Arabidopsis thaliana: one gene and its partners. The protein of the gene in region 2 purifies or fractionates together with the protein of the main gene of each other region. This does not show direct contact. Each region holds a gene or a part of one and is shown on either strand. Other genes may lie near its edges.

The links.
Region 1: the proteins of AT4G30820 (region 2) and AT1G55750 purify together in Arabidopsis thaliana (affinity purification with mass spectrometry, with the first as the bait; one large-scale study listed by BioGRID). This does not show direct contact.
Region 3: the proteins of AT4G30820 (region 2) and AT4G17020 purify together in Arabidopsis thaliana (affinity purification with mass spectrometry, with the first as the bait; one large-scale study listed by BioGRID). This does not show direct contact.
Region 4: the proteins of AT4G30820 (region 2) and AT1G20480 purify together in Arabidopsis thaliana (affinity purification with mass spectrometry, with the first as the bait; one large-scale study listed by BioGRID). This does not show direct contact.

The regions. Positions count from the first base shown.
Region 1 is NC_003070.9:20,839,874-20,847,769, forward strand, and holds AT1G55750 (BSD domain (BTF2-like transcription factors, Synapse-associated proteins and DOS2-like proteins)), read right to left. Parts: upstream 6,027-7,896; 5' UTR 5,992-6,026; intron 5,723-5,991; 5' UTR 5,263-5,722; coding exon 5,182-5,262; intron 5,096-5,181; coding exon 5,017-5,095; intron 4,888-5,016; coding exon 4,826-4,887; intron 4,719-4,825; coding exon 4,655-4,718; intron 4,556-4,654; coding exon 4,441-4,555; intron 4,347-4,440; coding exon 4,271-4,346; intron 4,192-4,270; coding exon 4,096-4,191; intron 3,880-4,095; coding exon 3,835-3,879; intron 3,487-3,834; coding exon 3,430-3,486; intron 3,331-3,429; coding exon 3,175-3,330; intron 3,078-3,174; coding exon 3,012-3,077; intron 2,511-3,011; coding exon 2,387-2,510; intron 2,238-2,386; coding exon 2,181-2,237; intron 2,097-2,180; coding exon 1,969-2,096; intron 1,885-1,968; coding exon 1,711-1,884; intron 1,617-1,710; coding exon 1,503-1,616; coding exon of another isoform or gene 1,449-1,502; exon of another isoform or gene 1,389-1,448; coding exon 1,311-1,388; coding exon of another isoform or gene 1,248-1,310; exon of another isoform or gene 1,150-1,247; and 7 more. Other genes in the region: AT1G55755 (uncharacterized protein), read left to right, coding at 6,242-6,293, 7,260-7,395, 7,646-7,703; AT1G55760 (BTB/POZ domain-containing protein), read right to left, coding at 7,244-7,846. UniProt on the Arabidopsis thaliana protein: Component of the general transcription and DNA repair factor IIH (TFIIH) core complex, which is involved in general and transcription-coupled nucleotide excision repair (NER) of damaged DNA and, when complexed to CAK, in RNA transcription by RNA polymerase II.
Region 2 is NC_003075.7:15,004,646-15,009,140, reverse strand, and holds AT4G30820 (cyclin-dependent kinase-activating kinase assembly factor-related / CDK-activating kinase assembly factor-like protein), read right to left. Parts: upstream 2,648-4,495; 5' UTR 2,584-2,647; exon of another isoform or gene 2,494-2,583; 5' UTR 2,439-2,493; exon of another isoform or gene 2,035-2,438; 5' UTR 1,998-2,034; coding exon of another isoform or gene 1,955-1,997; coding exon 1,930-1,954; exon of another isoform or gene 1,648-1,929; coding exon of another isoform or gene 1,625-1,647; exon of another isoform or gene 1,540-1,624; coding exon 1,283-1,539; intron 1,142-1,282; coding exon 1,076-1,141; intron 988-1,075; coding exon 763-987; 3' UTR 517-762; downstream 1-516. Other genes in the region: scpl29 (serine carboxypeptidase-like 29), read right to left, coding at 3,124-3,312, 3,399-3,504, 3,612-3,707, 3,807-3,940, 4,015-4,278, 4,369-4,454.
Region 3 is NC_003075.7:9,577,368-9,583,369, forward strand, and holds AT4G17020 (transcription factor-like protein), read right to left. Parts: upstream 4,073-6,002; 5' UTR 3,716-4,072; coding exon 3,603-3,715; intron 3,533-3,602; coding exon 3,365-3,532; intron 3,110-3,364; coding exon 3,041-3,109; intron 2,947-3,040; coding exon 2,853-2,946; intron 2,734-2,852; coding exon 2,633-2,733; intron 2,552-2,632; coding exon 2,506-2,551; intron 2,432-2,505; coding exon 2,372-2,431; intron 2,293-2,371; coding exon 2,224-2,292; intron 2,112-2,223; coding exon 2,028-2,111; intron 1,906-2,027; coding exon 1,822-1,905; intron 1,726-1,821; coding exon 1,640-1,725; intron 1,550-1,639; coding exon 1,459-1,549; intron 1,306-1,458; coding exon 1,225-1,305; intron 1,087-1,224; coding exon 1,012-1,086; intron 923-1,011; coding exon 789-922; coding exon of another isoform or gene 785-788; exon of another isoform or gene 700-784; coding exon 606-699; coding exon of another isoform or gene 572-605; 3' UTR 508-571; downstream 1-507. Other genes in the region: AT4G17010 (transcription factor IIIB), read left to right, coding at 6-260; EXLB1 (expansin-like B1), read right to left, coding at 4,450-4,647, 4,783-5,094, 5,226-5,335, 5,682-5,814. UniProt on the Arabidopsis thaliana protein: Component of the general transcription and DNA repair factor IIH (TFIIH) core complex, which is involved in general and transcription-coupled nucleotide excision repair (NER) of damaged DNA and, when complexed to CAK, in RNA transcription by RNA polymerase II.
Region 4 is NC_003070.9:7,094,325-7,099,070, forward strand, and holds AT1G20480 (AMP-dependent synthetase and ligase family protein), read right to left. Parts: upstream 2,824-4,746; 5' UTR 2,750-2,823; coding exon 1,483-2,749; intron 1,389-1,482; coding exon 1,243-1,388; intron 1,140-1,242; coding exon 1,072-1,139; intron 966-1,071; coding exon 863-965; intron 768-862; coding exon 654-767; 3' UTR 509-653; downstream 1-508. Other genes in the region: AT1G20470 (SAUR-like auxin-responsive protein family), read left to right, coding at 1-441; AT1G20490 (AMP-dependent synthetase and ligase family protein), read right to left, coding at 3,634-3,749, 4,121-4,746. UniProt on the Arabidopsis thaliana protein: Carboxylate--CoA ligase that may use 4-coumarate as substrate.

The DNA of each region.
Region 1 (7,896 bases), on a different chromosome or scaffold from region 2:
TGAATTTTGTATGTCATGTCAATATGACAAGCAATGAGTAACTTTATCTGTTTTTATTTTTTTCCTCACAATGAGTAAATTAATCATTCAAATCAAAAGTTATCCATGAATGCTATGTCAAAAAAAGTTTTATGTTGAATTTTATATATTTCTAATTTGGATTGTTGTTTGATGCGATTCAAACATTGAAATCTACTACGCCATCGAAGCATTTTCTCTATTATTGTCCCATTATTATAAATATTCACCAGTAACCAAATAACCAAACAATTATGGCACTGAGAGCTTTCTTGGAGCTGTAGTAACGTCCTCAAAGCCTGTAGAGAATTTACTAATACATTGCAAACTTAAAAATGTTCAGATCGAGAAAATCTCTTTGTTGTCTCTCGCAGTTAACAATATAACGCCTAATTAACAAAAAAAAGAAAAGAAAATATTACTACAATATAAACGCATTTTTGTATCTCAATGGTCGGACAAAAAGGGACAAATGAAGATTTTCAAAAACACCAACCAAGGCTGATGAAACAATTCAAAGATCTTGCAAAGCTTTTTAGTTTTAGTTTTTTTGTCCTCTATACGTAGCCGTTTGGTCTTTCGCCGCTCTTAGCTGTTCTTCTCTGCAGATCCACTTCGTAGTGATGGAACGCAGCGTCAAGAGCCTAGCAGAGAAAACCGATTAAGATCAATTTTCAAACCGGATTACAATGCAAGGCTGTAGAAACTGGATATAGATGCAATATGAGTGGAAAATATAGACTTAACCGAGACATGATGTAATAAAAGTATAAAACTCTTCCGTAGATATTGGAAGAAGCTAACCTGTTGCATTGGACGAACCAGTAGAGAAACCTGATGCCGGAGATCAGATTGCACCGACTCTTTCATTGCCTGAGTTACATGGAGTTTAATATCAAGGAAACCGTACAGTTGACCATATATATGCAAATAAGATTCGACTACAATACTGCATCAATTTTATTTACCCAAAAATTTCATTTTCGTAAACGCATTGGTATGATTAGGAACTACTGTTTTAACATAGCAGATTTACTATCAGTTGCTTATTCTGTCAGAAAGATGAAGAATTTCAAAGCTTACCTCAAGTTTTGAATATGTATTGGACATTGCATCCTTCAGTTTACCAACCTGCATGATAATAATATAACATCACAAGAATCGACGAAAAATATTTGGTATAATAACTTGCTCTTGGTGTATAATAAGATTAAATTTCCCGTGAAAGCCTAGGAATCAATATATATAGCAATTTCTGGGACTGGGAGATTTGAAAATTGCAATAACATTACCTTGGTATGAAGATATGTGGTTGTTATCGGATAAGATGACCAAAAATGTTTCAGTAATTCTTGTATTGATGTCCAATGCTGTAGATGAAAGAAGAAAAGTCCTCTTATCCATATGCATTACTACCTAATCTTCACTAACTAGTACATATAGAGCTTCTTGTCACTTAGGACACTGGAAAATGTCGGACTTACGTGTAGAACTTCATCCTTAGTGGACTTTGGTAATCTGTCCAGAAAGCTCTCTCGTGGGTTCTTCCCATTAATATTTTTAGCAGTTGCAATGGTTCGGGTTAACGAACTGAAAACCTGAATAGGGTTAGCAATTTTTAGCTCAGGCAACAAAGCAATAAGTAATGATTTCTTTTGTCAGCACACTTTTTATTATGTGACAGAATAGCACCTCGAAAGAAACTTCAGGCTTAATCAACGGATCACTTAATCCTGTAGCTCTAATCTCTAAAATGGATTCCTTTAGTAATCCATAAGCTTCATGGACATTTCTCTTCAAGCCCTTTGCTCCTCTGGGTACATTGAGGACGTTTCCTTGTTGAGATTCAAAGTAATCACGAGGATCCTGATTCCAAAGAAGAAAGGGTAAGCGGATTAACGCAGCATCCATCATCAATTGTGAAAACCTTATATTGGCAGAAAGCCAAACCTTGATAGAAAGCGGCGCCAATGGGAAATTTTGTGGTGCTTGAAGATCCTCCATTCCTGCTACCCGGGACATTCTTTCCAATCTCTCCTGATTAGCGTCCTTGGTGGTTTCACCATCAGCTTTGCTTACTAACAGGGGTGTAAAATAGAGATGGATAGCAAGGTCAGATGAATAAAAAGCGTGGCATTGTTTAGCAGAATGAAACATCATACCTTGTTTAACCCGTGTGAGAGCCTCTGCAACAATCCTTGTATCTTCTGACTCAACATCTGCTTTCCAATTACAGGAATATTATTGTATATTTACCACCAAGAACTAAAGTCAAAAGGCCAACATAAATGTTTACACTTCCTGAACTATCTACTGTTATAAAATATTCAGATAAAAAGATTCAAATGAGGTTCTTAGAGGTGTTTACCAATGCTTCTGCCTTCCAATACAACAGCAGCATGACGATTAAGATCTTGCAAAAGTGATCGTTTAAACTGATCATTTTGTGGTTCAACAACATCCATGGTGCCATCACGCTGGATCCCGTGGTCCTGTGTTATGGGAAAGTTATATTAAGTACGATAAAGTGTATTGAAAATAACGTTTCAACCGCATACAAAGAGCACAATGTCAATGTTAAGATTAATATTTTCTAGATATCAGTTTTGAGCTCCTTCTCACACATGCTAATATTAAAGTAGTGGTCTTGTGAAAAAGCAAAAGCACTAATTCAGAGTTATTTGAAAGAAACTAAATTCCTGATTTAACAATTCAAATTAGGTTCGCTGAGAATTCTAGAAGAAAGAAACAAGTGACACACATTGGTACAGGTTTGATTCTTAACACCGTTAGTATTATCCCAGTTCTTCCCATACTATTTCTACTAGGGATAGACAATACGTAAACATCAACACTACAAACCTCGATGAAAGACTTATTCTATGTGTGAATCTGTACAGTGTTAACTGAGCATTGAACTTTCCTTTCAACAACCATTGTTGCGCAATTTGGAAATTATCCAAACCTTTCACATGCAGTGGTAGTTGACTTACCATAAGATGAGTGTAGTCGTCTCCCTGGTCAGCCTCCATGTCAAGAGTTGGATCAACCCGTCTAATCTACAGAGATGACATTTAAATCAGATGGATATGCCACAAATATTTTCTTTTCAAACAAAATATATGATAAATGATTAAACCATAGAAGAAACCTAACCTTGTGACGAGTTTCCCGAGCCAATATCTCATCAGGCTTCAGAAAGACAGCGAGTTCCTCGTCCTCAGCAGCTTCTGCTGCAGCTACTGCTGTATTTTTGGTGCTGTAAAGATATTCTGCTCTAAAATATTTTGTCCAGAAGTCTTTTTCTGTCATCTGGCGTAGGAAAATAACTACCAAAGCCAGTTAAGATTCGTCGTATTTGAGGGTTAACCTTATAAACAAAGATGGTCACAGTGAGCTGGTCTTTGTTACCTTACTCGGAACATAATTGATGAATGCCTGCCGAACAGCTGGCTTCTCAGCAAAAATCTGAAAGCGTAATGAAGAAAACATAAGTAAGAAAAGGACTGTAGCAGTTACGAAAGTAACATTTAAGTTACTTGCAATGGATTTACTGGCTAAGCAAGCACAAGATAGAATGTGGGTGAAAGACTGTTAAAAAAGTTTATATTCCTCATTTGTAGTTTCAGATTGGACTAGAAGTTCAAGCACATGATGCAACCTGAACACCTAACAATGGATTTCTGACCCAATATATCACTAGCTGCAACTTCAACCCCATAACATATAAAAAACTTATGATGACGACCTTGGAGGGATTCAGAAACTGATAGAGCAGTTACACTAATGACAAACATAGTGAACCAAAGAGCTCACCTGAAAAATTATCTCAGGTGTCAAGTTAAACGTCACTCTATTAGTCTGAAAGAAGAAAAATGAAGAAAGTGGTTAGTAAACCAGCAGAGATGTCACATGATAATATGATATATATCAACATATGAATGTAATTCAGTCGAACACATCAGTGTATGGTCATATAGATGCATTGTTTCTTTCCTACAAAAGCAGGCACATGAAAATGCTAACTAAATTGGCTGTACTAACTGCCAGAAAGGAGTTGAGATAACTATACCATACCCGCCCATCAGTAGATGGTTTGATGCCAGAAACCATCATGCTCTTAAGCCCGAGCTGCTGTTTTGACTTTCTGATGGAATCTTTACCAAGTAATTTCTGCAGCCAGAATAAAGTCGGTAACTATGAAGACATTGAAGAGAACAAAATTTTTAAAAAAATCAAACAAAGAACCAACCTTTCTTGTAGCCCAGAATTCATCTTCAGTCAGTACTTTACTTTCCACAAATTGCTTATGCAATCTCTGCAGCTCACTTTAAATCACGTATGTTACTCATATTAGAAGGAACTTGATGAGCCAATGAAACTTTGAACCCAAAAAGGCAACTTAATGTTCCAATTACATACCTATTTTCTCTCAGAAGCTTGAAGCGCAGCTCCAATTCCTTAATACTGAGTTGCTCGGAAGATGTCGAGACAACGGATTTATTAGGCTCCAATTCACATTTAGCAAGGGCCTTAGCTGTTTATAGTAAAAAAGAGGTTACAGAAACACCACGAAAGAAAACAAGAGAAATACTTTCCCAATCAATAAAAGCAAACCAAGGGACATGGAGGTTACTGATGAAATCACGGCAAGCATGCATGTCGGGATAATTTTCAAACTCAAAGATATGACTCTTTGCCTACAATCAAGGATGAGGAAACCTCAATGAACACAGAGATATAGCTTCAAAATTCACATATCTATAATGTATCATAGCTTTAATCAAAAAATGTCAACAGAAAAAACCTGCTTGTTGGTGAGATTGAGCCAAGGAGGTTTATTTGATCCTTCTTTGGTATATTTTTGACCTGAGAGATTGAACAAACACAGTGAAATTTGATAATGACTATGCAGCTATCATCATAACTGAAATCGTTTATCAACACAACATCTATTATCCAATAAGCAATGTTAATGAGAAAAGGTACAAACAATACTTTTGATGTTCTGAGTAAGTACTTTGAGCTTAGAATCTGATTTGGGATCATTAGGGACGAAGAGCAACATCCCTTCTCTCTGCAAATTTTTCGATTTTGCAAAAGAAACAGTTAAGCTGAGAGATAATATAACTCAAATAAGAGCGAAAAGTGTAATCTTCATACAATTCTGAGAAATCCAGGAGTTCCTGGATCCTTGACAGTGCTCTTGTATTTGACTAGCTTCTCTATTTGCCCACCAGCCATATCCAACTGTAGAAACGGTGGTTCTCTGTTTTCCAGTCGATCAATTCATCGGAAATCAAGCGAAATTGGAATCTAGGTTTATACTATAGAACGGGAATAAGTATCCGACCCGAATCATGACCCAACTTACTGACCCGAATTAAACTGCTACGGCCCATTATGATTGGTCATGTGATAAAATGAACAAAAAGTCAAAACTAATTAGGGGCATCAAAATGTAAGATTCATCCTTATGTCGATTTTCATCTGATCAAAGACCGGTGTGTAGATATCCGACCAAGCTTTCTTGAGAGGAGAGTACCGGTTCGGTGGAACGGCTACTTCTCTAAACTGAACTTTCCCATCAGACATTTCATGAGCCTTCAAAGTTCAATGGCTTAACCGTCATAGGCTCGGTTTCAGTTGCGGATTGAATAGACTCTGCCATGGACTTTAACACCTTCAATGACTAAATTCAAACCTGTAAAATAGCATACAACACCTTAAATTATGATAGTCTCACGACTATAATCAATATGTACCAAATTCTGTAATCTCTAGTATAAATCAATAATGAGGATAGACACAGAAAAGAAGAAAAGATACATATTTGTGCATTTATCAACTAAATTGACATCGACAAAAAAAGACCACAAACCAGATAAAGCTTCAAACGATAGATTTTTTTTGAAAGCTCTATAGAATTGAAGCTGATTACTGTACAGAAGAAGAAAAGAGTAGCTGGCTTACTAGAGGATGTCGACGGCTGAAGAAGAAGAAGGTAGACGTAGAAAGAGTTTTGAGTTCGAAATTTGGGAGGTTTTTTTGATTAGGGATCTATTTATTACAGAATGAAACGACGTCTTTAATATTTTGGGCCACTAATAAGGCCCATTATTGACGTAGTTCGTTTGCCGGGAAAAAATAATTGAAAAAAAATCTTCATTTTCCAGCATCTTATGAAGAACAATATTCCCTCTCTTCAAAATTGGAGGAAGAGATGAAGCGAATCTCAGATTCGAAGATGAAGAAGGCGATGGTGGTGGTGATAGGTAGCTGTCGAAGGTAAGTTTCTTCTGCAAGGAAATTCCATTTTGTTGTTTTCGTCGTTTTCATTTTGCGATTCTATTAGACCCATATCGGTTTACTTGTCTGATTCTTCTTTTTCACTTTGATTTTTCCTACGCATGAACACCATCCATTCCATATATCAGATTCGTGCGACATTCTAGTTTCTGATTATTTGGCAGTCACAGAGATTTCCTGATTCGAGTTCGTTTCTATGTAATTTCCTCTTAGTTTTCCGGCATTGTGGCGGATCTCAGAGGTCTTAGAGTCTGATTTTGTTTCCATTGAAGACGATCTGAAATCGCTTATGTAGCTATTGATTCAGTTTCAGGGAGTTGTTTTCTGATTTTTTTTTTTCCGGAGATTTGGTTTCTGTAAACCATGTAGTACTCACATTGGTATGTAGCACAGATTCTAGTCTTAGAGTAGAAGAATGTATATATTCCTCTGTTTTGAATTTTTCATATTAGCTAAGAAACTAGTTGGTTGATTCTCTGAAACTACTGAACCATTCCTGTTGAATTTGCTTGTAGCATGATATGTTTTAACATCTGTCACCATTACAATAAACTAGGGAAGATTACAGATCATGGGAGGATATGTATGTTTAGCTTTTTAGCTTGGTATAACTTTAGTATCATGAATCGGGTAAAATTGCTAAAAGATGATTGTAGATTTTACTTTAAAAGTTCAGAAAACTATATTAGTGTTATAGATTAACAATTCAAAGTTCAAGCTAAGAAGCTCACATTCAATCAAATCATGAATTTACATGTTGCTGTCTTATCCTTGTAAGGACAATACTTGGGTTTTGAGTTAAAACCCCCAATACTTTAATCTGTACATAAAGACCAACAAATCCTTTTGCACAAAAAATCAGTGTCCATAAATGTATTTTGTATAATTATAGCACACATACCCTTTCTGATTTCCCCTAAAATCCTTTCCAGGTACTGAGGACTTCGTGGAAGATTTCAGAAATCAAATCTCTGTCTGCGCATTGCATGAATATGTTGAACTCGTCTCGGATCTCAAATATTTTGCCAAACTTCACAAGATATCTCATGCAGCTAGCCTTCAGTTCAGGTAATTGATAGAGATAAGCATTCTGTAGCCTCTCAAGCACATTCTTTGTGTCGATATCGTCTAGAAGACTCAAGTGGCACGCCTCTTTTAAATCAGCAATATCATATTTCTCAGCTGCTTGGAGGAGTGCCAATCTGTGTATAAGAAAGTCTTCGTTTTGGATATTGCCGTAGATATAACTGAGAAAAGCTTGGCAAGCATCAAGTGGCATGTCGAGTACGTTTATTTCTGATAGTTCTTTCTCTTTCAGGTCGTGTAAAAACATGCTGCGGAAAACAGGTGAACGGGCAGCGAGAACTGCTCGGTGAGCTCCAATGCTTCCATCAGAGGCATTGATCGTTATGTCGGTGTAAATGCTTTCTGTCAACATACGTCCAAGGGATGTTACCGCAGTTACTTGCGATTGATTCTCAGTTGAACCGTTGGCCCAGATAGAGTAAAGTTCTCCACTCTGCCGAATTCAGGTAATTTATCAGTTCAGCACACATGTTTCACCAAACA
Region 2 (4,495 bases):
GTTATAAATGTGCAACCATCCCATATCAGTTATGCTGGAAATATGATGAGCATCCTCTCTCTCTTTGCTATGAAGATAGCACTAGCACAGATGAAATCTACTGGTGCGAAATATGTGAAGAAAAAATAGATACGACAACATGGTTCTACACTTGCAACATATGTTGCACCACTATCCACCATCTATGCGTGTTTTGACTCCTCTGCTTACATAAAGTGTGGTTCCACATTCAGTTGCGATGACCTAAAAGGGGAAGTTGTTCGTAACAGTAGCCAGAGTCGATTAATTTGCAAATTATGTGGCCTGTGTTGCCGAGGTTACATATACCTCAAGTTTCCTAAGTTGAATTTTTGTTCTATGTCTTGTTTAGACGGTGCCGAATCATTTCTTGATATACTGATGGGTATGGAAACAGAGGAAAATGTTATGGCAACTGGGAACGGTGTAACTGCTAAAGATGAAACTATGTCTTTGATATGGACATCAAAATCCCTTTAAATTCAATAACTATGTCCATCCTCCTTATTTTTTGCTTCTGTTCTACCATCTGTTTCCGTCTCTCTACAATTGAACAAGTACATGTATTTTTTGCGATTTTTCTTTCGTAAATTTTGTTTTCCTTGATGCCCGTAATAGAGTCTTGTCAACTATACAAAACAAACCAGCCACAAGAGTAAAAGACAGTAAACTGAGACAACAATGGAAGCTATCAAGACCTCCTAGTCACTATCATAAGGGACAAAACTAATATCGCTTGAGAAATCAAACCCAAATGCTTGCAAATGCTTCTTCCAAAGCCCTCCTCTTGCTTATCTCTAAAGAAAATCCTCCAGCTCTCTCTGCTTTCATCCTCCTCGTCGCTTCGTCTTCCATAGCGTAATGTTGACGCTCTGCTCCACCTACTATAGGTACAGGTTGTGGGCCCATTCCCGTTGGTCGTGAAGCCTGACCATATGTAGTTCCAGCCGTGACCCCATGGTTCGACGACTACAAAATGCGTAAACAAGTAAAGAGATTTCAGCTTCGTCAGGAAACTTCATCTGCTTGTTGATATGAAAATTAAAACCCAATTTACCGTGTCAGCATCTGTCTGTGGGGGTTTGGCCTTGCAAGCTGCCAAGGCTGCAGTCAATTCTTCTGCCTGTTGGAGCAAATTGTAAATACACCAAAAGCAATTTGCACAGTGATATCATATAACCAAACATGCTTTTAATCTTCTTTCTTTTCCTCTACTCATTCATCTAACCAAGATAAGAAAAAGTAAGGCTAACGTAGGCCCTACCTTACGAGCTCTATTAATCATTATCTGTTCAGCATTCTCCTTAGAATATCTCTTAATCTTCTGCTCAATCGCCTCGACATTGATTCCATCTATCAAGTCGAATACTGGTGGAATAGAAGGTAATATATACATTGGTCTTGTCTTGCATGAATAGAGAAAATAAGGAGCACAAGTGAAACTAACCCATGCACTCCACTTCTTCCAAGTAGTCATTGTAGTCTTTAAGTGATGGAAACTCCTCTTCCCGTCTATTGTATCTGCATCACCAGAAAGAAAGAAAAAAAAACATGATACTCAAGAGGCTGAAAATACTCTGCTTCTACAGAATGAAAAAATTGATACCTTAATATAAATCTATATCTCATCTGTTAGAAACTGTGACTAAAGATCTCCATTTTATGCTAAGGTATGCTAGGAAACAATGGAGCATCTCACTGGGTCCATAGATGGGAGAATTGCTTCATTAAGTGTATGCAGTGAACAAAGTATTTTCTATAAAAATGATCAGATGTGAAATTTAGCGCTATACATGCTAAGAGTCTATACTGATCAATACGCAGTAGATTGATCAAGGGGTTTAAATATCACACCATTTGCACAGGCAAGCATGATATGCAACGAGAGAAAAAGATCAGAACGAAGAATACATCTCAGAGATTCTCCTTCTGACATGTATTTCCTTATTTTGATGGGTAGAATTAGACACCATCACCATGGTTGCTTCTGCCTGGGATTCTTGTCCTTTCCTCTACCTACAAGGTTTTAGACGTGATTTCGCAAATAAAGCTGCAGCAAATATTACACAAGTCTTATTTTTACTTTCGGCTATAGAATCTTTAGAGCTGAAAACCATTATCCCAATAGGGAAAAACACATGAACGAGAAGAAACCTACGAAGAAAACAATTCCAGATAGCGAAGAAGATAAATCTGCGGATTTTCCAAGGATTTCTGAGGAACTAAGGAAGCAAGCATAAAGCACAATGTTTATGTAGACTCATGTGTAGGATATGAATTCGACACTGAAGTACAATGTTAAGCAAGCGAGAACAGAAAGTCGCCTAAAACACGATCTGAGGAAAATAGCTAATAGCTATATGCCAATTCTTCTATTCAATAGAATGCTAAAGACCGGAGAGAAGAAAAGTGAGACTCACAGGTAGAAATAAGAAGGTGAAGAGGGACGCGCGAGAGAAGACACTGAGCCCAAACCTGAAACACCCAACCGTCCGAATCCTCATTCAAAACGTCGTAGATCTCATCTTAACCCAAACAAATAAAGGTTAAAAATGAAACCTTTACCTCAGAAATTGCAGATTCCGACCAATTGAAGTTCAATGTTCAACTCAAGACAATTCACTTCCAGAAAAAAAAAAAAAAAAACAGGTTTCTTCAATTTGAACAGACAAAGGAAGAAGAAACCCCTAATTCTTTAAAATATGGGCTTAGGTCTCATGGGCCAAGTCAAGCCCAATGCTTCTGTATAATTTCGTTTAGACCCCCAATACTAGTCTAAATTCTATTTTCTACCCCAGTATTATATCCGTTACCAGATTAATACCCAGTCCTATACATCACAGATCAGACTTCACTTTCTCATTACACAAGAATATGTTGTTGTTATTCAAGGATCGTATGGCTGACAAATGGTAGAAACTTCTTTTATTAGATTCCAAGCAGCAAATGTTTATCCAAACAAACAAACAACCAGAAGAAGAAGAAGCATTGAACGTATCACTTAAAACACTGATTTATTCTCTTTCCCTCTTCTTATTTCAACGGCCTATGTGGAAAGTTTTTGATTGAGAATCCAAATCACACATTACATCAAATCAGAACTCATTATGAGTCACTAACGAGTTCAGACATGTCGCGGCTGATGCTGTTCTCATGTGTGGACAATGGAGTTCCAGATATAAAAGCCTTGAAGAGCGCAAGAGCTTGCTTCGGTCTGTGCAAAGGAACTTCATGGCCTGCACCTCTCACTGTCACAAAGTTCAGACCAGCATACTGCTGACTCCACCCTCCCACCTGTTTCAAATCATGACTGTTTATAAGTTTTTCTTATAACATAAGAAAAGGATTCTCATTTTCTCATCTTGAGTTTTGTTTTGTACCTGTCCATCTAAGTACCAAGGACCATAGGCACTCAAAGGACGAAGGTTTAGTGCATCGATACTGTACCGGGTTGATGTGACTGGTACAACGGCATCTGCGTCCCCACTGTTACCAAAGAACAAAACCTTTTCTTTTTACCACCAAAACGCCAAAACACTTGAAGAAAAGATATCGTTAAAGTGCTTTCAGTGGATATATTTAGAGAAAGAGACCTGAAAACCCAGATACGAAGCCCAGCAGCTATAAGCTCGTGGTAAATGTTTAGAACCGAGGAAGGAGAGTCATTCCAGTGTTCACTCACGACATCACTGCATAACCAAAGCTGTCGGGATCAGAATTGTTACAATACTTAAATAGGCTCATTTCCTCCAAAACCAAGTTTCTAAGATATTGCAAGGCAATTTTACCTGCAAGTATCCCATTTTGATGGTGCAAGTCCTGGTGGGACATGGAGGGCTTTTTGAACCTCTGGAAGATTGAAATAAACTGTAGTGTGTTTCTCCGTACAAGGATCATACTGTTCGCTCACGCGGCTAGTCATCTAAGTAAAATAAACAGAGAAATTAGGACACTAAAGAGTGTAACATTGAAAAGAGAAGTTTTAAGGCCACTTACAGGTCTTTTCTTTAGCAACATATTTGACTGGGAAGCATTGGCAACACAAGCTGGGGTGAAGACACTGTATTGGTCTATGTTACCTATTTCTTTGTCCGCTATCTCCAGAATCTTGTTACACTGTTTGGAGGAGTGAATAAACGATTCGAAACCGCATTGAAGTTGCAGTAAGCTGTATGTTTGGTCAGATATAAAACCCAACGACCAAATATATTGGAAAAGACCAAGCCTGTCATGGAAATCGTCCATCAGCCCATTTCCTACCTGCATCCACACATTCATCAACATTGTTTTAGAGTTTTATAACCTTTTAGAAAATGAATCATAGGGGGATCAATAAGAGGACAGGCTCACCATGTAACCCTTCAGATTTATACTGTTTTTGTCAGAACCTTGGTTATGTTTTACAATGGCTTCACTCAGCTGAGGAATGTAATGTCCTAAAACAAACCAGAAGAAACACATGAGTATTTATGGTCAA
Region 3 (6,002 bases), 5.4 Mb from region 2:
TACAGGAGGCTCAAATTGAAGACTACTTCAAACCGATAGACAAGCATGCTAGTACCATAATGGAAATTCAGCTCGAAGGAGAGAAGAAAACGATGGGGACAATGATGAACGCAACACAACAGGAAGCTATACGAAAGATTGAAGAAGCTGAGAAACTCGCTCGGGCACGTGGAAATGCAAATGTGACTACAGATGCAAACATGGGAGATAAGATCCAGGATTCAGAGTCCTCAGCCAACGAAAAATCTCAAGCAAAATGAAGTCAGATCTTGTCTTCATGTTGACACAGAATAGATTCAGCGTCTCTGAATACATCCTCTTAGTTGATTAAACTGAGATTGTAGCCTCGCATTTGCTGAGGTTTTAATAATTTTGAAATTTGGTCAACTGAATAGAATCAAAACCGAGATTGTGTTCTGTCTAGCGTACAAGAAATTATAGAGGTGACCCTGGTTGGACCATCCCCAACGACCACGTTTTGTCAATATATGTTGTTTCAAACTTAACTTCGCCTAATAAAGTATATTGTGATTTACAATGGATCGGTCTTACAGCTTAAAGGTTTCAACTTTCAACTTCGTGGGTACCAACACCAAGTACTTTTCCTACGTTTGGGGTGCGCATGTGTTAGCAGGATAAAAACGATGGTAACTAATAGAGTAACAAGACATCAAATGGCTACTCTTTTTTCTCTTTCTGCTGAAACCTCACGAAAGACATAGTTTGTAGAATCGAAGCATGATGTTTTGTTTTAATACGAGAAGAAAATGTGAGTTTCTTCTTGTTACCTGCTTTGGGTATGAAGAAACTCACGCATCTGATTGTGAACTTCGGATTTCACAACAAGTCGCATTCTCTTAGAGTCTTCCCAAAGAAGGCCTCTCCATTCCCGAGCAAAGTCACAAGCTGCCTCAAACACATCCTGCTAACATGATTTTGGTTAATGAGATTTACTATAACGGTTTTGCGTTATGGAGAAGAGAAAATAATAAGAGGGTTCAGGTTTGTTACTTTTGAAGGAAATTCATCATAGAAGTGAGCCTGGGTCATCTCAATTCTCTGCAGATCTGTCTCCCAAAGCCGAATCTGCCAGAACAATGCATTTTTATTCAACATAAGCCTGATGAATCAGGACGTAGAGATAGTATACACTTTCAATTCTATAAACCAATCCTATACACATTTTTGTATAATCGACACTTGATGGGCATAGAGAGTATAAACCTGATCAGTGACATTTTCTGGAATAGATGGGACTCGATCAGCACATCGTGGATGAGAATTCTGCTGGAGGAAAGTTATAATCTGTGACAATCAAAAGAAAAGGAAAAAATATTTATTCAGAAACTATAAAGAGACGCATCAACAATTTGATCAACATTTCAAGGACAGTGAGGATCCGGGCAAAATCATGTATTCGATAACTTCAAAATGTTTTTCAACTGAAACCAACTGTACCTGATCTGATGTGATGCCATTGTCAAATGCATTGTACAAACTTTCCTTTGTAATGGCACAAGCAATAAGGTTTGGAAGTTGGTACTCTATCCTGGAAATAATGAAGCACCAACTACTTAGACCTAAAGGATTTTAAGACACAGAAGAGTAAAGTTTCAGGTCGATGTTCAGGAGCTTCTACCTCGCAAATAGTCGTAAAATTTCACACTGTAACTTAGATGTGGAGTACGCATACATTCTGAAGTTTGTTTCCATCACGACAAATCCCTGATGAGGAACAACAAACAACAGCGATACACAAAATCAAGAAAATTGTTGGTAGCAGGTAGATATGGGACAAGAGGGGAATAAAAAAGGTGTGACCTCTTTTCGCGCTGATGAATCTGCCAGACTGACTGATAAATTTGTAGCCAGTTTAGTAGGAATAAACCAACTGTCTTTCCTTCCCTTCAATAATCATAAAGACTGGCTCAGCATGTGATATAGTTCTATAATCATAACTTTAGCAAAGTTTTTTTTCTTTTGATATTTGGTAATAAAAAAAATATTACAAATGGTCTAAGTCTAACCTGTTGAAGCTTGACTAATCCCAAGTCTGCAAGGTCCTTGAGGGTATTGTTTTGAACCTCTGTCAAGGTATTTAAGTTATATGCCTGCAATGTGTAAGCTCACCGAAATAATTAACAAGCATCCCGCTAAATCAAGTAAGAGTAAAAACAAGAACAAGAACGCTTGAAATGACTTTTTTGTGAAGTTCTGTTATACCTGACCAGTAACATGAAAACTAAGCTCCAACAAAAACGAAATCAAGTCTGCTGGATCTACATCTCGCTCCTGAGAAACACTGGCATTGGGTTATCCATTCGGCGAAATAGAGATATCAATTTCACAAAACCTTAGGAATAATACAAACCTCGGCATTCAATATGTATTCTCGAATAATGTACCAAAGCTGGGCATTTGTATCCATCAGCTGAAAATTGAGGTCAATCAGGTTACTTACATGAATACAGGTAATTATAGACCACTGACTCACGATTTGCATACCAAAAACTGAAAGCCACTCTCAGTTAATCTCGGGCCATCTTTGTCTCTGCAATATTACATGAAGTGTATCAAATAGGGAGGCTATATGCCACCACTATGCATCTATAGACGTGTATGAAAACATTACCTCTGACTCAATAAACCTCGCTGAAAAATTTTCATCATGGATGAACTGATGCCAGTTAGTTTTTCACCTTGACCCGAATTTATAAGTTGTAGCAAGAAACACTGACAAACATAAGTACACATCATCAGATACTAACCAAGTTCATATTAAAAGATATTTGTTTTACAAATTACTTCCACCTTACTAGTATTATCAATAAGAAATTAGGAAATACACACACCTCCCATTGCTTAAGTGCATAGGTTTCGAGTTCTTGTAGGCTTGGAAGTTTAATGGCATTGTCGGAGTTCATAGGCTCTCTAGGCAAAACTCCACTGCAAAATTCAAATTTAGCTCATCAGCATCTTCTCCAAAAGCCTAGAGAAAAAACGAAAAAGGAGAGTACCGTCAATGTAAAGATGTCTTTACCCGGAAATAATATGTTTCTGAAGATTGTTCTGAAATGTAGGATTTAGGCTGTAGCTGGTTCCCCTTTTCCTGCAAAAGTACGAAGAGCAGCTTAAGAACTAAATCTGAACTATCATCTTGCCACATACAATCATAATCAATCCAAACACAGTAAATTGAAGTATAAGATGAAGCTCATAGGGTTCAATGCTCAAGTTAACATCCACCATCACTCTTTTAAATAAATATATCAAATAAACCCTCCAACGTGAATAGACAGAAGTATTGAACTAACTGAAATAAGTCAAATCATGACAGTATCAAGAATAAAGCAAGAATGCATACCTATCACTAATTTCTGAAAAAATCCTTAATTGAATCAGTCGATCAATAGCAACTCTATGTTTAGAGGTGCCATCTGCGAGCACCCACTCCTCCATCATCGTAGCAGGTACAGGAACATCAATGTACAACATCTGCAATACATACTTCTTGGCAAGAGGCGGCAAAGACCTGACACCATCTTAAGAATGTAAGATCCTCAATTTTTTCAAAATTCAACAACATAGACACATAAATTAACCTGAGAATGGCTTCGCAGATAAAGACATTGTTGTAGAGTTTGTCAAGCTTGATGGCTGGAAGTGACGCCACCATGTCCATGAAATTTTTAGCAATGATCTTAACTTGCGGCATCTTCACCAATTGGATTCCCTTACTCACTGGACCGGTTCTAAAAGAGCACAGTTTCCACGAAATTAGGGTTTATGCCACACAGCGATCAGCTCGAAGCAAACCTAGTTAACTAAAGCATCTCCTCAAAAAAAACAAATCCAAAACAGTTCTAAACAAGAACTCCAGAAAACAAATAAGGAAGGATTTAAAGTTTCGGGTTCGAGTTTGAGAACAATACAGAATTGAATTTAAAGTTTAGGTTCTCTCTTTTCTCGATGAGCTCTTCTACAATTGATCCCGATTATTTACTACCCAGAATCAAAGAAAACTGACGAAATCGATCGAAGAGGATGGCCAAGATAAATTAAGTTTTAATGGGCCTTGTGAATACTACTAATGGGCCTATCTATATAACAAAAATCGCGCCAATTTGTTTTCATGAAAATGGTTGATTAGGGAGAGATATATGCTTGACTGACCAAAATGTAAACAAAAAAAGCTTACGAAACGTTTGATCATCATCTGATAAATTGATTAGTACTGATTTATTCCATCAAAATCAAACTCATACAAACCATTACAATCTTCTTAGTGAGACACAATACATAAATTATATATGAATCTACTACGATTATTTATATTATCATCATTAATTATATTGTCCTAGAGGGCATTATTTAAATATATTAGCCATTGCATACAGAAACCATAATAAATACTATATGATAAAAACACACTGATGAAAAGTGAATCAATTAAGTAAGTAGAATGTTGGAGTCGTAGGTGGCTCCGGCAGTCCAATCAGCGGGAATAGCGTTTGGCGATTGGATCCAATTGATTCCTGCGCTTCCGTAGACTAAGAACCTCAATGTGAGAGTGCCTCTAGGTGGATTCTGCAAATCATGAACCGCTCCAAACACTCTTCTCATACGTCTCCACTCTTTGCAATCCTCCTAAAATCATACATATACATGCATACCATATAATAACGTTTAACTTTGTTTCACAAAATCATCTAAGAGTAAACTATATATTTTGATCCTCAAAAACATATATCTAAGTTTCTCAACATCTTTGATTAAATTTACCTGCCAGACTTCAACGGCGAGGATGTCATTAACACCACCAACGTACAAGACAAGGATGGCAAGATAATGAGGATTGTAGCTTTTCTCATGGATCTTATACACCAGATTATACCCTGCGTATCGGCAAGGGATCCTTTGGTACTCAACGTTGACTACACCGAAGGAGTAGAGCTGATTTTCTGTGCCGGGTCGCGCCATACGTCCGTACGCCTTAGGGCTTAAGATGAAGTCCGTGCCATCTCCTTCTCCGGAGTCCGTAGCCACTACGTATACTCCTTCCTCACTGCAGTGTGGTGGTATCTTGCACCTCACCTTTTTATAATTCATAAAATAAGTTTTTTTTTCTTTCATAATATAAGTTTAGTAATTAATGACATAGCATATACTATAATAATATTTGATGAAATATTGATTGAGATAAGTAGATAACTATATATAATAACCTGGTAACAAGCACCACAGCCAGTTCCATTGTTCCATAGTCGCCATGAAACACCACTCACTTCACCGTTATTGATATCTCTTCCAAATTCTCCATACCCACAATGTCCCCCTGCATCATCAAAAAATTAATTAATTATTCTTATTCTTTCGACAAATATTATGTATATTCTCATAATGGAAAGTTATCATTACTAATTACGCAGTTAATGGACACTTAGTGGACTCGTTTTCAATCATATATGTATTTAGAATTTGAATAAACCTTCAAAATAAAACAAAACAAGAAACCTATACGTAGATATAAAACAAAAATAATTAGTTATGGCTTATAGTGAGATATTACACCAATGTATCTTTTACCAATATATAACGTGTACAAGTCTATACAACAACTAAGAAAATGAAAAAGAATTAAGGTACACGATGTATATAGCAATAACAATTTTAATACGTACGAGGATTTGCTTTGCAATCGGGGCTGCCATAATAAGTAGCTCTAGAGTTAACAAAATCGTCGGATAGACAAAGGAGAGGCAAAAGGACAATGACTTGAACAAATAGAAGAAGCAAAACGTGAGAATGCTTCATATTGTTGTTATCTTATCTATAAATATTGTAAGATTATTAATACTTCTAACTCTTTTTCTTAACAAATGATAGGAATTGATAATAGAATTTCTTATCACAAAAGATAGTGAAGATAGATGAGAGACTTAGTAGGGTATTTATAGCTGCAGCTAGAGTGCTTATTACAATTATACAATTGATCGAGCATC
Region 4 (4,746 bases), on a different chromosome or scaffold from region 2:
ATGTCTCTGAAGAAAAGATCTTGCTCGAGGCTTAGACTCACCGATTTGATGGAGAAGTGGAGGAAGTGTAAGAAAGGACACTTCGCTGTGTATACCAGAGAAGGCAGGAGGTTTGTTTTACCCTTGGATTATCTCAAACATCCAATCTTTCAGGTCTTATTGGAGATGGCAGAGGAAGAGTTTGGCTCCACTATTTGTGGCCCTTTACAGGTTCCTTGCGACGGAGGTTTGATGGATCACATCCTCATGTTGTTGAGGAACAAGAGTTTGTCTGACCATGATGATGATGGTGGTGATGATGGTGTGAAGAAGACGATGAACCAGGATGTGTCCCCCATGAGCACGTCGTGCAAGGGAGCTTCATCGGTTTCATATTTCTTCCCTCTCTTTCGTTGCAACGCAGCCCATGATCAGAGCAAGCTCCAGTCTCTAGTTTTTTAACAGTTTATGGTTGTGGAGAGCGCTTTTTATACACAAAAATCTTTTCTGTTTGTATATAAATAGAAACAGAGATTCTCTATAAACCTTCAGTTTGTATATCATTATTCATTTTTGACAGAGATATATGTGGAAGAAGTAACTTAACATTTAAACCAAACAAACGGGTTAACATACCGTGAAGTGCGAGATAAGGATGGTGACAGAGCCTCCTGCTAGAGTTTTGAAGTTGTGAGCTTTGTAAGTTCTCTTCTTAAAATCTTGCCCGAAGGATTTTTGGGGATTGAAGCCAAAAATGTGACTTTGCGAATCTTCTTGTACGGTGATACCTATGTAACCCAACCAGAATTCCGGTTAAACCTAAATACCTAATGAACCACTGTCATATTAGTCAGAAAACATGAACTGCATTGTTAAAAAAAACCTGTTTTGCGACAAATCCCATGATTTCGCTCTCGGATAAGTTACTTCCAACTTTTCTTACGATATATGCCATTGGATATTGCCCAGCTTTCATGTCAGGGATGCTTCAAAAAACCATAAGAAAGAAAAGTAAAAGCTTCAGCAATTAGCAAAAAGGATCGTTAAAGAGAAGAATTTGCTTGATGGGTCAATGTTAAAAGCAAGACTTACGGTATTACTGCTGCATCAGCAATCTCTGGATGAGCAAGCAACAATGCCTCTAGTTCAGCTGGAGCAACCTAACAAACATTTCACCATTACCAAAACCCCCAACTTTACTCAGATGATCCATGCATTAAGAAAGATCAACTAAAGTTGATTGGTTACATTTTATTTATTTACCTGATAACCATTGCATTTGATGAGCTCCTTTAATCTATCAACAACAAAGACAAACCCATCACCGTCAATGTAACACAAATCTCCAGTTTTCAACCATCCTTCTGAATCAATGGTAGAAGCAGTAGCTTCTTTATTCTTGAAATAACCTATAAACAACTCAACAAGTTTGAGACAACACCAATAACAAAAAAAAAAAACATATTTCACAGGCATATGAACTAAAGATCAAGAATCAAACACCTTTCATCACAGTAGGACTTCGAATCCACAGCTCACCCGTTTGATTCACACCCAAAACCCGACCCGTATCCGGATCCACAATCTTACCTTCCACATTCGGAGCCAGTAAGCCAGAAGCTCCATACCTCTTAGTCTCCTCTTTATTAAACATAGAAGCAGCTATAGCCGTTGACTCAGTCAAACCATACCCTTGTAGGATCTTAACCTTGGGATAATTCTCAACGAACTTCTCCGTCACCTCTCTACTCAACGGAGCTCCTCCAGCCACCACAGTGTGCAACGAGCTCAGATCATACTTGGAATTAATCTCATTTGCTCCGTTAACCATAGCTACTACAATCGGCGGTACAAGAGAAAGGTACGAAGAACGATGAGTCTCCACCGCCGAGAGAAGCTTAGCCATGTCGAATTTAGGAAGAACAACGATTGTCCATCCTAACGCGATTAGCCCCGTCGCGAAACCACCGAATCCGAAGATGTGACACATTGGGATTGTGCAAATGGTTCGCTGCTCTAAACCGAACCGGGCCCGGTATGCTTGTACCAATGCGATTAGGTTACGGTGACTCAGCATTACTCCTTTACTCGTCCCCGTCGTACCTGATGAGTATAACAGAGCCGCCGTGTCGTCCTGGTTGACTCGTTGCTTAACTCGTGACTCACTCGGTTCTGTTTCAATCATCGTCTCTAACCTCCCGACTAGTTTCACGCGGTCACCGTAACTTTGCGAAGGAACGTGGTAGTCGTCCATGAGAACCACCGGGAGATTAAAATTCGACGCGGCGGCGAGTTTGGAGACGAGTTTGCATGTGGTGAAGGCGAGAACAGGACGCGAATCGCCTATCTGTTTGGAGATTTCGTCGGACGTGTTGATCGGATTAGCGGTGGTTATGATTGCGCCGAGTGACATTACGGAGAGGGAGACGATCGGGAAGAGGATTGAGTTTGGAGAGAGTATAATGACGACATTTCCTTTGCGTACACCTAATGCGTAAAGACAACCCGCGACTCTTTCGACACCGAGCCAGAGCTCAGGGAAGCTTAGTCGACGACCGGTTACGGCGTCGACGAATACGGTTTTGCCGCGATGAGGCTGTGATGCAATGAAAGACGTGACGTCGAGAAATTGGTTTGGCGGGAGAGCCATTGGCTCACGTTTGCTGTAGAATATCGATGTTGATTCGCAGAAACCGCTTTTTCGATCTACCGCCAGAGTTCTCGATTCGATTTCGCTGCCGTCGCCGTCGACGCCGTGCTTAACCGCCATGTTAAAGGACTTTGGTTGTATCGAAAGCCTCTCGGTGATTGGTCGTTAGAGATTGGTAATTACGTCGTTTCTGATTTAAGTTTTATGACGTGGACTATATTATAAAAAAGCCCACTATACTTTGAGTCTTTGATCCATTACGCCTTTGGGCCTAATGCAAACTAATTATATCTGTCCTTGGAAATTATTCAACACTATACATATGTATACAGAAAAATATATACAATGATTACAGATTTACAGTTTTCTCTCTTATTGAAAAACAATACCATCAATAAAATTAAGAAAGTCTAGCAAATTTATCCTTTCAAAGTTTGGAAGTTGATAGTTTGATTAGATCTTTGCGAAGTGTTTTGCCGGATGCAGTCTTTGGTATGGAACTTATGAATGCAACCTTTCTTATTTTCTTATACGGTGCCACCTGCTCATCAAATTATTTACCACCCAAAAATAGTTTAACTTTTAAGTAAAACAATATATGATAAAGAAGATGTTGTACGTTTTGTGATTATAGAAGTACCTGATTAGAGATGAAGTCAATAACTTCTTTTTCGGAGAGATTGCTCTCGGGCTTTCGGGCTACATAAGCCATCGGATATTGTCCGGCTTCTCTATCCGGAAACCTGTACAATGCACAAAAGAAACAAACTACATGTTTTTCGATATTTGAATGGCAAAAATCATGGTGTTTTAGTTGTTAAATATTTTACGGAATAACAGCAGCATCAAGAATGTGTGGATGAGCGATCAAAAGAGCCTCTAGTTCAGCTGGAGGCACCTGCTTATCATATATTAACCATTAGATTTTCATTTTTAAGAAAATTTACACTATTAGTAAACATAACGATGATGAACCTGATAGCCTTTGTATTTGATCAATTCTTTCAGTCGATCCACAACAAATAGAAACCCATCTTCATCGATATAGCAGAGATCTCCAGTTTTAGCCATCCTTCTAGATTAATAGTTTCATTTGTAGCTTCTTCATTTCCGAAATAACCTTTAAAGCATATAAATGTTAGTTTAATTCAAAACTATGTCTTTGCCATGCAAAAAATTGTTTTCGTTTTGTCCCAAGACAGATTTAAGAGTGTTTCTTTTGTTATTCAATAGTATTGAGTTCACTTAAATAAGTTTCATTTAATTTGCAAATGAACTGAAGCCATTCTTCGGTTAGGGTGTCCACGTTACGAATACTAATCATATCGATGTATACAAAACTCAATTACTCACACCAAATCCAAAACCCATTTTACTGCTTAAAAACTTGATCATAATATTTGTTTTATAAATAATTTCCCAATAATAAAATGTCTATTTCAAATAATCTAATTATTGCCAAATATTTAGCGTTTATTAGTGTTTGTTTACCTTTAGAAATAGAAGGACCCTTGAGCCAGAGCTCACCGGGTTGGTTCACACCCATGACCCGACCCGTATCCGGATCCACAATCCTCGCTTCAATACCGGACGACAACAACCCAACCGCACCGTATTTCAGACTCTCCTCCACAGATTCCGTCGAAGCTCCTGAACCGTGCGACTCAGTCAACGCATATCCTTGAAAAATATTAACCGTTGGATATTTCTCTAGGAAGCTATCCATAACCTCCTTGCTCAACGGTGCTCCACCACACCTAACCTTTCTCAGGGAGGTCAAATCGTACTTGGCCTTGAGCTGATCTGCACCGTTAATCATAGCTACCAAAACCGGTGGAGCCAAACTCAGAATCGTGGCTTTGTACTTCTCCACCGCTTGCATCATATCGTCGAGCCCGAATCTCCGGAGAATCACCACCGTTGAACCCGATGCTACGGAGCCCATTGCGAACGCCAATAACCCGAAGGAGTGGAACATCGGCACGGTACATACGAATATCTCGTCTCGTTTCCATTTATCGTCGATGTATTTCGCAACGTAAGCTGTTAAATTCCGGTGAGACGAGATCACTCCTTTGCTCGTCCCTGTGGTTCCCGACGAGTAAAGCATCATCGCC